2 linked regions of the Macaca mulatta genome follow. The protein of the gene in region 1 interacts with the protein of each later gene in a biochemical or structural test. Links are inferred from orthologs where the notes say so. Each region holds a gene or a part of one and is shown on either strand. Other genes may lie near its edges.

Region 1 (4,836 bases):
GCCAGCCCTTTCTGCTTGCTGCTGGGCCTAGTTCTCTGCACCAGAGAGCTGTGAGCATTCTTTCCACTGTTGTCTTAGAAGAGCCATTTATTTCATAGCAAAGCAGTTCTTGTGCACTCAGGGCACAGTGAGGGGCCTCATTTGTCTTTTGTTTATTTGTTTGTAATTTGAAAAAAAGTCATCCACAACTCTATCACCCACCTACAATAGTCCTTTGCTAATTTCTTGCTATAGGTACACTTAAAAAAAAAAGACTTGGCCAGGCATGTTGGCTCATGTCTGTGATCCCAGCACTTTGGGAGGCCAAGCTGGATGGATCACTTGAGGTCAGGAGTTCGAGACCAGCCTGGCCAACATGGTGAAGCCCCCATCCCTACCAAAAATATAAAAAATTCGCCAGGGTGGTGGCACACGACTGTAATCTCAGCTACTCAGGAGCCTGAGGCAGGAGAATCCCTTGAACCCAGGAGGCAGAGGTTGCAGTCAGCCAAGATCGCGCCACTGCACCCCAGCCTAGGTGACAGAGCGAGACTCTGTTTTTAAAAAAAAAAAAAAAAAAAAGAAAGCGACTTTATTTTGTAGAGTAGTTTTAGATTCACAGCAGGAATCAGCAGAAGTTTCTCCATCTTCCGCTGCCCCACTCACGCACCGCTTCCCCAGCTGCCAACACCCCCCAGTGCAGTGGTGTGTTTGTTCTAATTGGTGAACCTACGTTGACTCCTCACAACCATCTAAAGTCCATAGCACTTTCATATTTTTACTGAGTTACAGTCATCCTGTGGTGTAATATTTTATTTCCTTTTCTTCCCATTTAACAAATCATTTGACTTTTTTTTTTTTTTTTTTTTTTTTTTTGAGACAGAGTCTCGCTCTGTCGCCCAGGCTGGAGTGCAGTGGCGCAATCTCGGCTCACTGCAAACTCTGCCTCCCGGGTTCACGCCATTCTCCTGCCTCAGCCTCCAGAGTAGCTGGGACTACAGGCGCCCGCCACCACTCCCGGCTAATTTTTTTGTGTTTCTAGTAGAGACGGGGTTTTGCAGTGTTAGCCAGGATGGTCTCGATCTCCTGACCTCGTGATCTGCCCGCCTCGGCCTCCCAAAGTGCTGGGATTACAGGTGTGAGCCACCGCGCCCGGCCACAAATCATTTGACTTTTAAAAATATTTGAAGCAGTGAATCTTACTTTGGAAATTGAAAGGATTCCTCTATGAGGTTTTCTAGTTCTCAGAGGGGTGTTGCCCTTCAGTCTGGTTGCCTCAGATGTTGTTTCTACTGAGAGCCACCCTAAGTGCCATGATTGTGACCACCAGAGGCAGCTTTGGCTGCCGCACCTCTCTCAGGCCTGTCCCGCAAACTCTGCTCCTTGGAGGTGAAACTGACCTTATACTGATGTTGCTGGTCGCTTTGGCAGAGTGGAAGAGGAAGCTGCCCAGAAGAACATGGCCCTTAAGAAGATCCGGGAGCTGGAATCTCAGATCTCGGAACTCCAGGAAGACCTGGAGTCAGAACGTGCTTCCAGAAATAAAGCTGAGAAGCAGAAACGGGACCTTGGGGAAGAGCTAGAGGCGCTGAAAACAGAGTTGGAGGACACGCTGGATACCACAGCTGCCCAGCAGGAGCTCAGGTGTGCCCTGGGACCAAGTCCCTGGGGATGGGGAGGGCAGCCACGGGGGTCTTGGCTTGGAGACATGGACCCTGGGCCTCTGTGCACACGCGCATTCTCACACACACACACGCGCGCGCGCGCACGCCCCGTGGCCCTGTTATGCGCCAGCAGGCATGGAAGCTGCTGGTTCCTCAGCGGTTTCTGTCTACAGAGTAGAAAGCCTGTTGAAGAACCTGACTCAAAGTTGGGGGTGAGGCAAGGGTGGGCTTTAAAGCTGAAAGGCTACAGAAGCCTTTCACAGTGCGTCTTTCAGGCTGGCCCATGGGATAGATGGTCAGGAGGGGCTGATGGGTAGAGAAGCTGCCTGGAGTGCCTGTGCCCTGGTCAGGCCTCTCTTTGGTCAGGGAAGAGCTCCAGGGACAGCCTTGCTCCAGTGCTCCCAGCCTCCACTCTGAGGGGATTTCTCTGTCCAGGTCGAAACGTGAGCAGGAGGTGAACATCCTGAAGAAGACCTTGGAGGAGGAGGCCAAGACCCACGAGGCCCAGATCCAGGAGATGAGACAGAAGCACTCGCAGGCCGTGGAGGAGCTGGCGGAGCAGCTGGAGCAGACGAAGCGGGTGCGGAGCCTCCCTGAGACCGCAGCAGGAAGGCAGGGTTCCCCGTGCTGGGCCCACAGAATCCGAATCAGTCCTGCAGAGCAGCTGCAGGATCCAACTCAACTGCCTGGTTCTGAGGCCAGGCTCCCCCTCTAAGGGGCTTTGTGACTTGGGCCTCAGTTTCCCTGTTCACAAGGGAAGATTATGATAGGTCTGTCTCATGTGGTTATGTGAGGGTGAAAACATTACTTCGTTACTTTGAACATCAGGCTTCAGACAGGCTTTACTGGAAGTCTTAACTACAAACAATTACAGTTCCCCTCATTGCATTATAAATATTGCTAACATCTGCAACACCAGTGCCGTGCCCTAGAACCTGGCCTCTACCCAGGGTAGAAGGCTGGGCAGGTATTATTTTAGAGATGGGGAAGCTGAGGTCCCAAGCAGTGAAGACAGGAGCCAAGTGTCACCCACCAGCCAAGAGAGAAGAGGACAGGACAGATGAGGCCTGAGCCTTCTGAGTCCAGGACTCAGGCGCACCGTCGTCAGGGCTGCAGCAGCAGCGATGTCTGGATCTCGAGTCCAGTGATGACAGACCAGCCAGCCTTGTGTCAGGAGGCCGCCACTCACATCTTTGCTTTCTTCCCCGCCAGGTAAAAGCCAACCTCGAGAAGGCAAAGCAGACCCTGGAGAATGAGCGGGGGGAGCTGGCCAATGAGGTGAAGGTGCTGCTGCAGGGCAAAGGGGACTCGGAGCACAAGCGCAAGAAAGTGGAGGCGCAGCTGCAGGAGCTGCAGGTCAAGTTCAACGAGGGAGAGCGCGTGCGCACGGAGCTGGTCGACAAGGTCACCAAGCTGCAGGTGAGGCCTCCGCCGGGATCCTGGCGCGGGCAGTGGGTGCCAGCAGCAGTGGTGGCCCAGACCCCCGGGTGCATGTGTGCTCTGTGTCTCTCTCTCTTCTCAAACCGGCTCCTCAGACCCTCACGCTTCAGCTTGTGACTCAGGTCCAGCTTTACGTAAAGGAGCTGAGGTGGGGCAGGAGCGGTGGGGCTGGGTCCATGGTCCTTTGCGTCTCCCCGCCCCGTGCAGGTGGAGCTGGACAACGTGACCGGGCTTCTCAGCCAGTCCGACAGCAAGTCCAGCAAGCTCACCAAGGACTTCTCCGCGCTGGAGTCCCAGCTGCAGGACACTCAGGTAAGGGTGGTGCCAGGTTCCCAGAAGGTGAACTCCTCCAGGAAGGCCCCTGTGTCCACGACATTAGCTCCAGAACCCATCGGACTGCCCGTCCTCTCCTTCATCTCCTTCATCCCGTGGGTGGGTCTCTGCGTCCTCCTAGCTCCCATCAGGTCTTTACGTGGCCATCCCCTAAATCAGCAGGACCAGCTCCTCTCTCTCCTCAAGGGTGTGGAGTTCCTGGGTTTCAGACACCGCTCTCCTGAGCGCCCACACCCCTCTCAACCTGCGAGTAGGAGCTGCTGCAGGAGGAGAACCGGCAGAAGCTGAGCCTGAGCACCAAGCTCAAGCAGGTGGAGGACGAGAAGAATTCCTTCCGGGAGCAGCTGGAGGAGGAGGAGGAGGCCAAGCACAACCTGGAGAAGCAGATCGCCACCCTCCATGCCCAGGTTTGGAGGCCTGGGGAACCGGCCTGACTCTGCAGGCTGGGGAGCTGCTGGCCGGGCACTGGCCTGGGCACTGCAGGACAGCCCTGCCCACTGGGCCAGCCCATTGCTGCTCTCCCCCAGGGAAGCCCACCCTGCTCTCCCACATCAGGGCTTTCAGCCTGAGTCCCTAGGAGAGGAATCCAGGGGTCTGTGGACTTAGATGGGGGACACCACTATTTTCACTATTTTACACCTTTATTTTCACCAGTCTTTAGCTGAAATTCAGCATTGCTTCCATGATGGATGTAGGCAGCAAGCCACAGTGGTGGCAGTCACTGCACCCTCGTCATCTGTAGAAATGGCCAGTTACCCTGTCAGGGTTGCGGCCGAGCTCCTTGGCCTCGTGGTTCCCGGGCCTGCGCCGAGTTTGCTGTCTGATGTGCTACCTAGCAGCACGTGGCTTCCTGAGCCACGGTGTTTTAGAATGTGTGAACACTGCATTTTTCTGTACTGGTTGCCTTGGTGATCCCATATGTTTATTTAATGCCTGTTAAAACATTGTCATGAGAAGGAGTCCCTAGGCCTCTCTAGACTGCCAAGGGGTCCGTAGCCTAATATATATTCAGAGCTCCTGCTCTAGATCCTATCTTGGGCCTCCATATGCCAGGCCAGAAGGCCTGAGCCACCTCGGGATGGGCTGGGAGTCTGTTCCGCAGTCAGGGTGGGAGCAGCCCGTGAGTGTGCGTGATTGCAGGTTTATCTCCAAGTGCAAGGATGGGGCTGGGTGATGGGGACCCCGCAGACATCCCTACAGGGCACTGGCCCTGCTCTCTGGGAGCGGTCTCCGTAGAGCAAGAGGCTTGGTGTGGATGAGGGCTGGGAGCCCCCACAGTGGGCCTGAGGGTCAACCTCCCCCGGGCTTCACACGGTAGACGGATGCCCCTTTGCAGAAGCTCCATTTGTCTCGCCCCCGTGGAGAGGGAAGTGACTGGGGGAGGCGGTTTCATAACTGGGCGGATCCCTGGTGCCCCTTC
Region 2 (5,500 bases), on another chromosome or scaffold:
CGTATATATATACACACACGTATATACATATATACACGTATATACATGTATATACATATATATGTGTATGTGAACGCGCTTCCTGCGGAGCTCTGCCTCTGGGCCAGGGAGTCTCCTCTCTGCCGCTCCTCTGGCTGAGGTGGTAGGATGGTGGCCTGTGCTGTGTGACCTTATCCCAAGAGGGAACTTCCCAGCTCAGGAGTGAGCAGAATGGACCTGTGCCTGCTCCCCAAGGGGTCACCAGTGGGGCCACTCTGAGCCTCCCCTGCAGGACACCTGGGCAGGGGCAGTGTGTTCTGAGAAAGCCGGCTCTTGTGAGACCTGCTGCTCCCGTGTGCACCAAGGGTTTTCTGTGTGGAGCCACAGCCCCGCGGGCACAGTCCTGGCCCATGTGCTGGTGGGGGCTGTGTTGGGAGAGGTTAGGGAACTTGCTGGAGGCTGACCCTCTGGAAGATCTCTACCGAGAGAGAGGCCTTTGAGTGTGGGCCTACTTTGACTGGGGCAGGATGTGAACACAGGCCCCTACCTCCATGCTCCTTACCTCCGCGCTCTCCAGGACTCTCTCAGCCTCCCATGCACAGGCCCTCTGAGTGCCTCCACTATAGAGATGGGGAGGGGTGCTACCGTGCCTGAGACCAGAGTCCCTGACTCTGCCCCAAGGTCCCAGGAGCCTTCGTGCTGTCTAAGCCCTGTGACTGCTCTGGGTTTGGTAAGTGCCAGGGCTCAAAAAATAACACCCCAACGTGTAAACCTCAGAAGCAAAAGTTTCTCTGTCCTGCTCCCACCCTCCTGTCTCCAACCCCTCCTTCTCCTCTGAGAGGCTTCCCCAAACCCTGCCGTAAAACCCAGAAATATGACTCCAGTTCTCCACTCCCTCCCCTTTCTGTGTAGAAACCAGCCTAAAGAAACCCTCTGGCCTGCTTTATTTGACTGGAGGTCATAAGAGCTCCATTCCAGAGAGGGGCCTACCCCACACCTAGAAGGAAGGAGAGCTGCTCAGAGAGGCCGCAGGGAATCTGACCCGACAGGCCCTGCCGGGTTCTCCTCCTGGTCTACGAGAGTCCGGCCGGGTTTTCCTCTTGGTTTATGAGCGTCCGGCCTTACTTTTGTGTCCAATCATATTTCCATACTTTGCTGAACTGTGTTTATGTTTGTAAACATGGACAGTTTCCCCCAGATCCTTGGGTCTTCATCTTGAAGGCTGCTGTGCCACATAAGCAACCATCAAATACATCTGTTATGCTCTTCTCCTATTCATCTGCCTTTTGCCCGCTGATTTTCAGCGAACTCCCAGAGGACGAAGGGGAGTTTTCCATTTGGCCCCACAGGGGAGGAGCCAGCGTGATTGAGGTGGAAGCTGGGCCTCTGAAGGACACAGGGTGTTCTAAGAAAGGGGTGACGGGGCAGATCCGTGTTCACACACACGCCCAGTGTGAATTCACTCTCAGACGTCTCCTCGTGTCAGCACGCTGGTGCCAGAACACTCTGATGTTGACACAAAGGGCCACGGAGTCACCACTCACTCCTCACACACTCACCCTGTGGCCGCTTACCCAGGGAGGGCCAGGGATGAGGACACCACGGTGGCTCAGTGATGGCCCCGAGACACAGGTGAACATTGTAAAATGCGGACGCCTGGAGGCAGCCCACACCATGGGCCTTGGCTGGGAGAAAGTTTCCAGAAAGGTCATCACAACGATGCATTTCATCAGAACTGAGCACATGAATGGGGAGGGGCAGGACTTCCTGAATGTCCCAACCCCACTGTCCCACCCTCTGTGTCAATATGAGGTTGCCTTATAAAGCACAAGAGGATGCCAGTGCGACATTTTCTCGGCCTTTCCAGCCCCCAGGAGGAAGGTTTGTCTGAATCCAGCACCATGACGGAACTGGAGACAGCCATGGGCATGATCATAGACGTCTTTTCCCGATATTCAGGCAGCGAGGGCAGCACGCAGACCCTGACCAAGGGGGAGCTCAAGGTGCTGATGGAGAAGGAGCTACCCGGCTTCCTGCAGGTGAGCCCAGGCCAGCAGTGCTGGACTCAGCAGGGCCTGGGGAAGAAGGGGAAGGCGTGGCAGGCAGAGGGCCGAGAGCTGCGGTGGGGTGGGGTCGGGTCGGCAGTCAAGGGGCTCAGAGGCAAGAGGGACAGATCCTGAAATGCCCTAGAAGCCCAGCCAAGGAACGGACCCACCTTGGCATCAAGGCAGGGGACGCTGGAGCATCTGAGCAGGGAGAGGGTATGGTCAGCTTGATCCTTGAAACATGGAGTTGACCCCAGTGTATTTGTGACAGCCCTGGTGGGAGAGTGGGGCTCAAACCTGTGCAGTGGGGGCAGGGGCGGAATGCAATCCAGGGCCGCCGTTTGCAAGTTTGCCAAGCCCTCGAACCTTCGGGGCTGTCCTCCAAGGCTGCCGGCCATAAACGCCCCAGCTCCACCTCCCACTTGTCCGCCTTCCCTGCTCCCATCCCCAGGCCCCTTGTTGCCTGGTATTAGTGGGGCCGGCAGGAAGGACAGGAGGAGGCTCCATCCTGGCACCTGTCTGCGCAGAGCTGCGGACCTCCCTTGGGCTCCCTGCCAGGGAGAAGCCACTGGCCTGAGCCTCACAGAAGGCCCCTTGGGGCGGCCAGGACCAGCTTCCTTCCACCTGGGGCAGCCTCCGTCTGGGCTGAACAGAAGACTTCCCCTCTCCGTTTCCCCTTCTCTTTGACCCCTGTCCTCTCCTTCTTTCTCACTCCCCCACTTCCTTCCTTCCTTCCCCTCCCCTTCGGGCCCCACCAGATTCTGCCAACCTACCATCTAAGGGGCTGACCCACATGGCTGCTGATAATCGAAAATGAAAGCCTGACATTTTCAGCCCTAGAATCACTTCAAAGACATGAAACACTTCGGAACATTGCTGCTTTTCTTTTCTTTTCTTTCTTTCTTTCTTTTTTTTTGACAAGCTGTCACTCTGTCGCCCAGGCTGGAGTGCAGTGGCAGGATCACGGCTCACCACAGCCTCTGCCTCCCTGGGCTCAGGTGATCCTCCCACCTCAGCCTCCCAAGTAGCTGGGACTACAGGTGCATGTCACCACAGCCGGCTAATTTTTGTATTTTTTTTTTAGAGACAAGGTCTCACCATGTTGCCCAGGCTGGTCTGAAACTCCTGGGCTTAGGCAATGCATCCACCTCGGCATCTCAAAGTGCTGTGATTACAGGCGTGAGCCCCAACACCTGGCCTCATTCTATTTTCTAAATGTAAATTCTGTAAAGATATCTTTTAAAAATAAAGTTCTGTTTTTGGTAGAAAATGTAAAAACAGATAAATATGGAGGGAAGAAATCCCCCCTGGAATACAGACTCTTCCTCTCCCTTCCAGTCTTTCCCCCATGTGAACGTTGCTGTGAGTGGGATTTATATGCAGTTTAATTTCTTTGTGAGCTTAACATTACAGCATAAAATCTCAAACTCTGATGTTCATTAAACACCCCAGCCCCATCCTGGGAACTTGGGCTTGGGGCTCGGGGTGTTCTGATAATCATCAAAGGATGAGAATTGAACCCATGAGGACTTTGATCCAAGACACCGGGGTGTGGGGAAGCGCAGGTGTCCTGGGAACACACTTTGAGAAGCAATGGCTAAGCTGGGGGTCCTCAAACTTGTGTTACATTAGAATCACCTCAGGGATCCCAGGCGCGGTGGCTCACACCTGTAATCCCAGCACTTTGGGAGGCCGAGACAGGCGGATCACGAGGTCAGGAGATCGAGACCATCCTGGCTAACACGGTGAAATCCCGTCTCTACTAAAAATACAAAAAATTAGCCGGGCATTGAGCTTGCAGTGAGCCGAGATCGCGCCACTGCACTCCAGCCTGGGCGACAGAGCGAGACTCCGTCTCAAAAAAAAAAAAAAAAAAAAAAAAAAGAATCACCTCAGGGAGGCCCCGGGTGTCCTTCTCAGCCCTGCCTCCAGATGCTGCTGAAGCCTAGCAAAGCTGGAGTCGGAGTCAGAGAACAATGTCTGCCTGAGGGCAGGGCTGGGCTGGCCTTGTGGCCTTATCTCCTCCATGCCCAGCCCAGGCCCCACTGTTGGAGCTTTGTAAATACGAGGTGACTGGCTACAAACTTCGTAAACATCACTTGAAATGGCCGCAGGGTATTGTGACGTGGCCAAACCACTATTTGTTTGCTATTGAATTTATACTTCCCTGCCTTACTTTTGCTATTAAAAAACCATGCTGTCACTAAGGTTTTCATGCACACAGTTGTGTCTTGGTCAGACGATCTGTGTCTACCAATTTTAATTGTTTTTTTCCACCTGGACACACGGCTCTCTGGCCCAGGGCTGGGTCATCAGCACCCCCTGCTGCTGCTGTTCAGATCTGCATCCTGGTCCCGCTTGGTCCCATAGTGAGAATGCTTTGCCATCACATGGGCAGGCTCTGAGAGCCCTGCCGGCCTGGCCTTCTCAAAGAAGACCTGAGAGCTTGGGACCCCAAGCCAGGGTACCCAAGCAGAGAGGAATAACAGGGCTCAGGGTGGTCCGTGCTCGCTCCACACCTGGGGCTCAACCCTGGCTTTCCCTGGCTCCCTGTGTGACCTCAGGGCAGGCCCCTTGGGCCCTCTGGGCCTTATCGTCTTCATCTGTAACAGGGCGATGCCTCTGCCATGCCTGGTGGTGTTGAGGAGTTCATGTTTGTGTAAGCAGCTAGTTCAGTGCCAGCACGAGATGGGATGCCCATGACGTTAGCAGTGCACAAAAATATAAGAGCAAGGACTGGACGCATTTCCTGAGAACAGCCATCACTGTAAAGCACATTACAAATCCAAAGACAACCCCCTGCAAAAACTAAAACTGAAACTCCTTCTCGCAGAGCACAACACAGTTCCCATTTGCTCTAATAACATTCAGAATTAGTTCATGTCATGCCAGATAGCTGAAGGCAGCTCACAAGATAAGGCCAGGAACGCCATGTGTCTGCTATGCACAGCTGGCCCTGGCCCTGAGCCTGAATGATAGCACAGGTGATGCAGATGTGGGTGCCCTGCTCCTGCCCAGCAGTGGTGCTTGGTGGAGGCTGAGGCCTGCACAGGGCCTCGCTGCTGACCTTGGTCCTCTCTCTCCTCTAGAGTGGAAAGGACAAGGATGCCGTGGATAAACTGCTCAAGGACCTGGACGCTAATGGAGACGCCCAGGTGGACTTCAGCGAGTTCATCGTGTTCGTGGCTGCAATCACGTCTGCCTGTCACAAGTACTTTGAGAAGGCAGGACTCAAATGATGCCCTGGAGAGGCAGATTCCTGGCAGAGCCATGGCCCCAGGCTTCCCAAAAGTGTTTGTTGGCAATTATTCCCCTAGACTGAGCCTGCTCATCTACCTCAGATGAATAAATGCTCATGAAATGATCCTGGTCTCACGGAAACTGGCTATTCCTTAAAACCTCAGTGTCCTCTCCCCACAAAACAGAATCCACTAATTAAATCTGTCATTTCATTACTCATTGCCTGCCTACAGTGG

Evidence for each region.
Region 2: the proteins of MYH9 (region 1) and S100P interact in a biophysical measurement, tested with the Homo sapiens proteins (2 studies listed by IntAct). The link is inferred for Macaca mulatta from reciprocal best matches to the Homo sapiens genes MYH9 and S100P.

Annotation. Positions count from the first base shown.
Region 1 is NC_133415.1:15,268,476-15,273,311, forward strand, and holds part of MYH9 (myosin-9), read left to right. Parts: intron 1-1,410; coding exon 1,411-1,623; intron 1,624-2,078; coding exon 2,079-2,223; intron 2,224-2,855; coding exon 2,856-3,062; intron 3,063-3,290; coding exon 3,291-3,395; intron 3,396-3,670; coding exon 3,671-3,823; intron 3,824-4,836. UniProt on the Homo sapiens protein: Cellular myosin that appears to play a role in cytokinesis, cell shape, and specialized functions such as secretion and capping. Required for cortical actin clearance prior to oocyte exocytosis. Promotes cell motility in conjunction with S100A4.
Region 2 is NC_133410.1:6,343,297-6,348,796, reverse strand, and holds S100P (protein S100-P), read left to right. Parts: upstream 1-1,778; 5' UTR 1,779-1,814; coding exon 1,815-2,018; intron 2,019-5,113; coding exon 5,114-5,263; 3' UTR 5,264-5,388; downstream 5,389-5,500.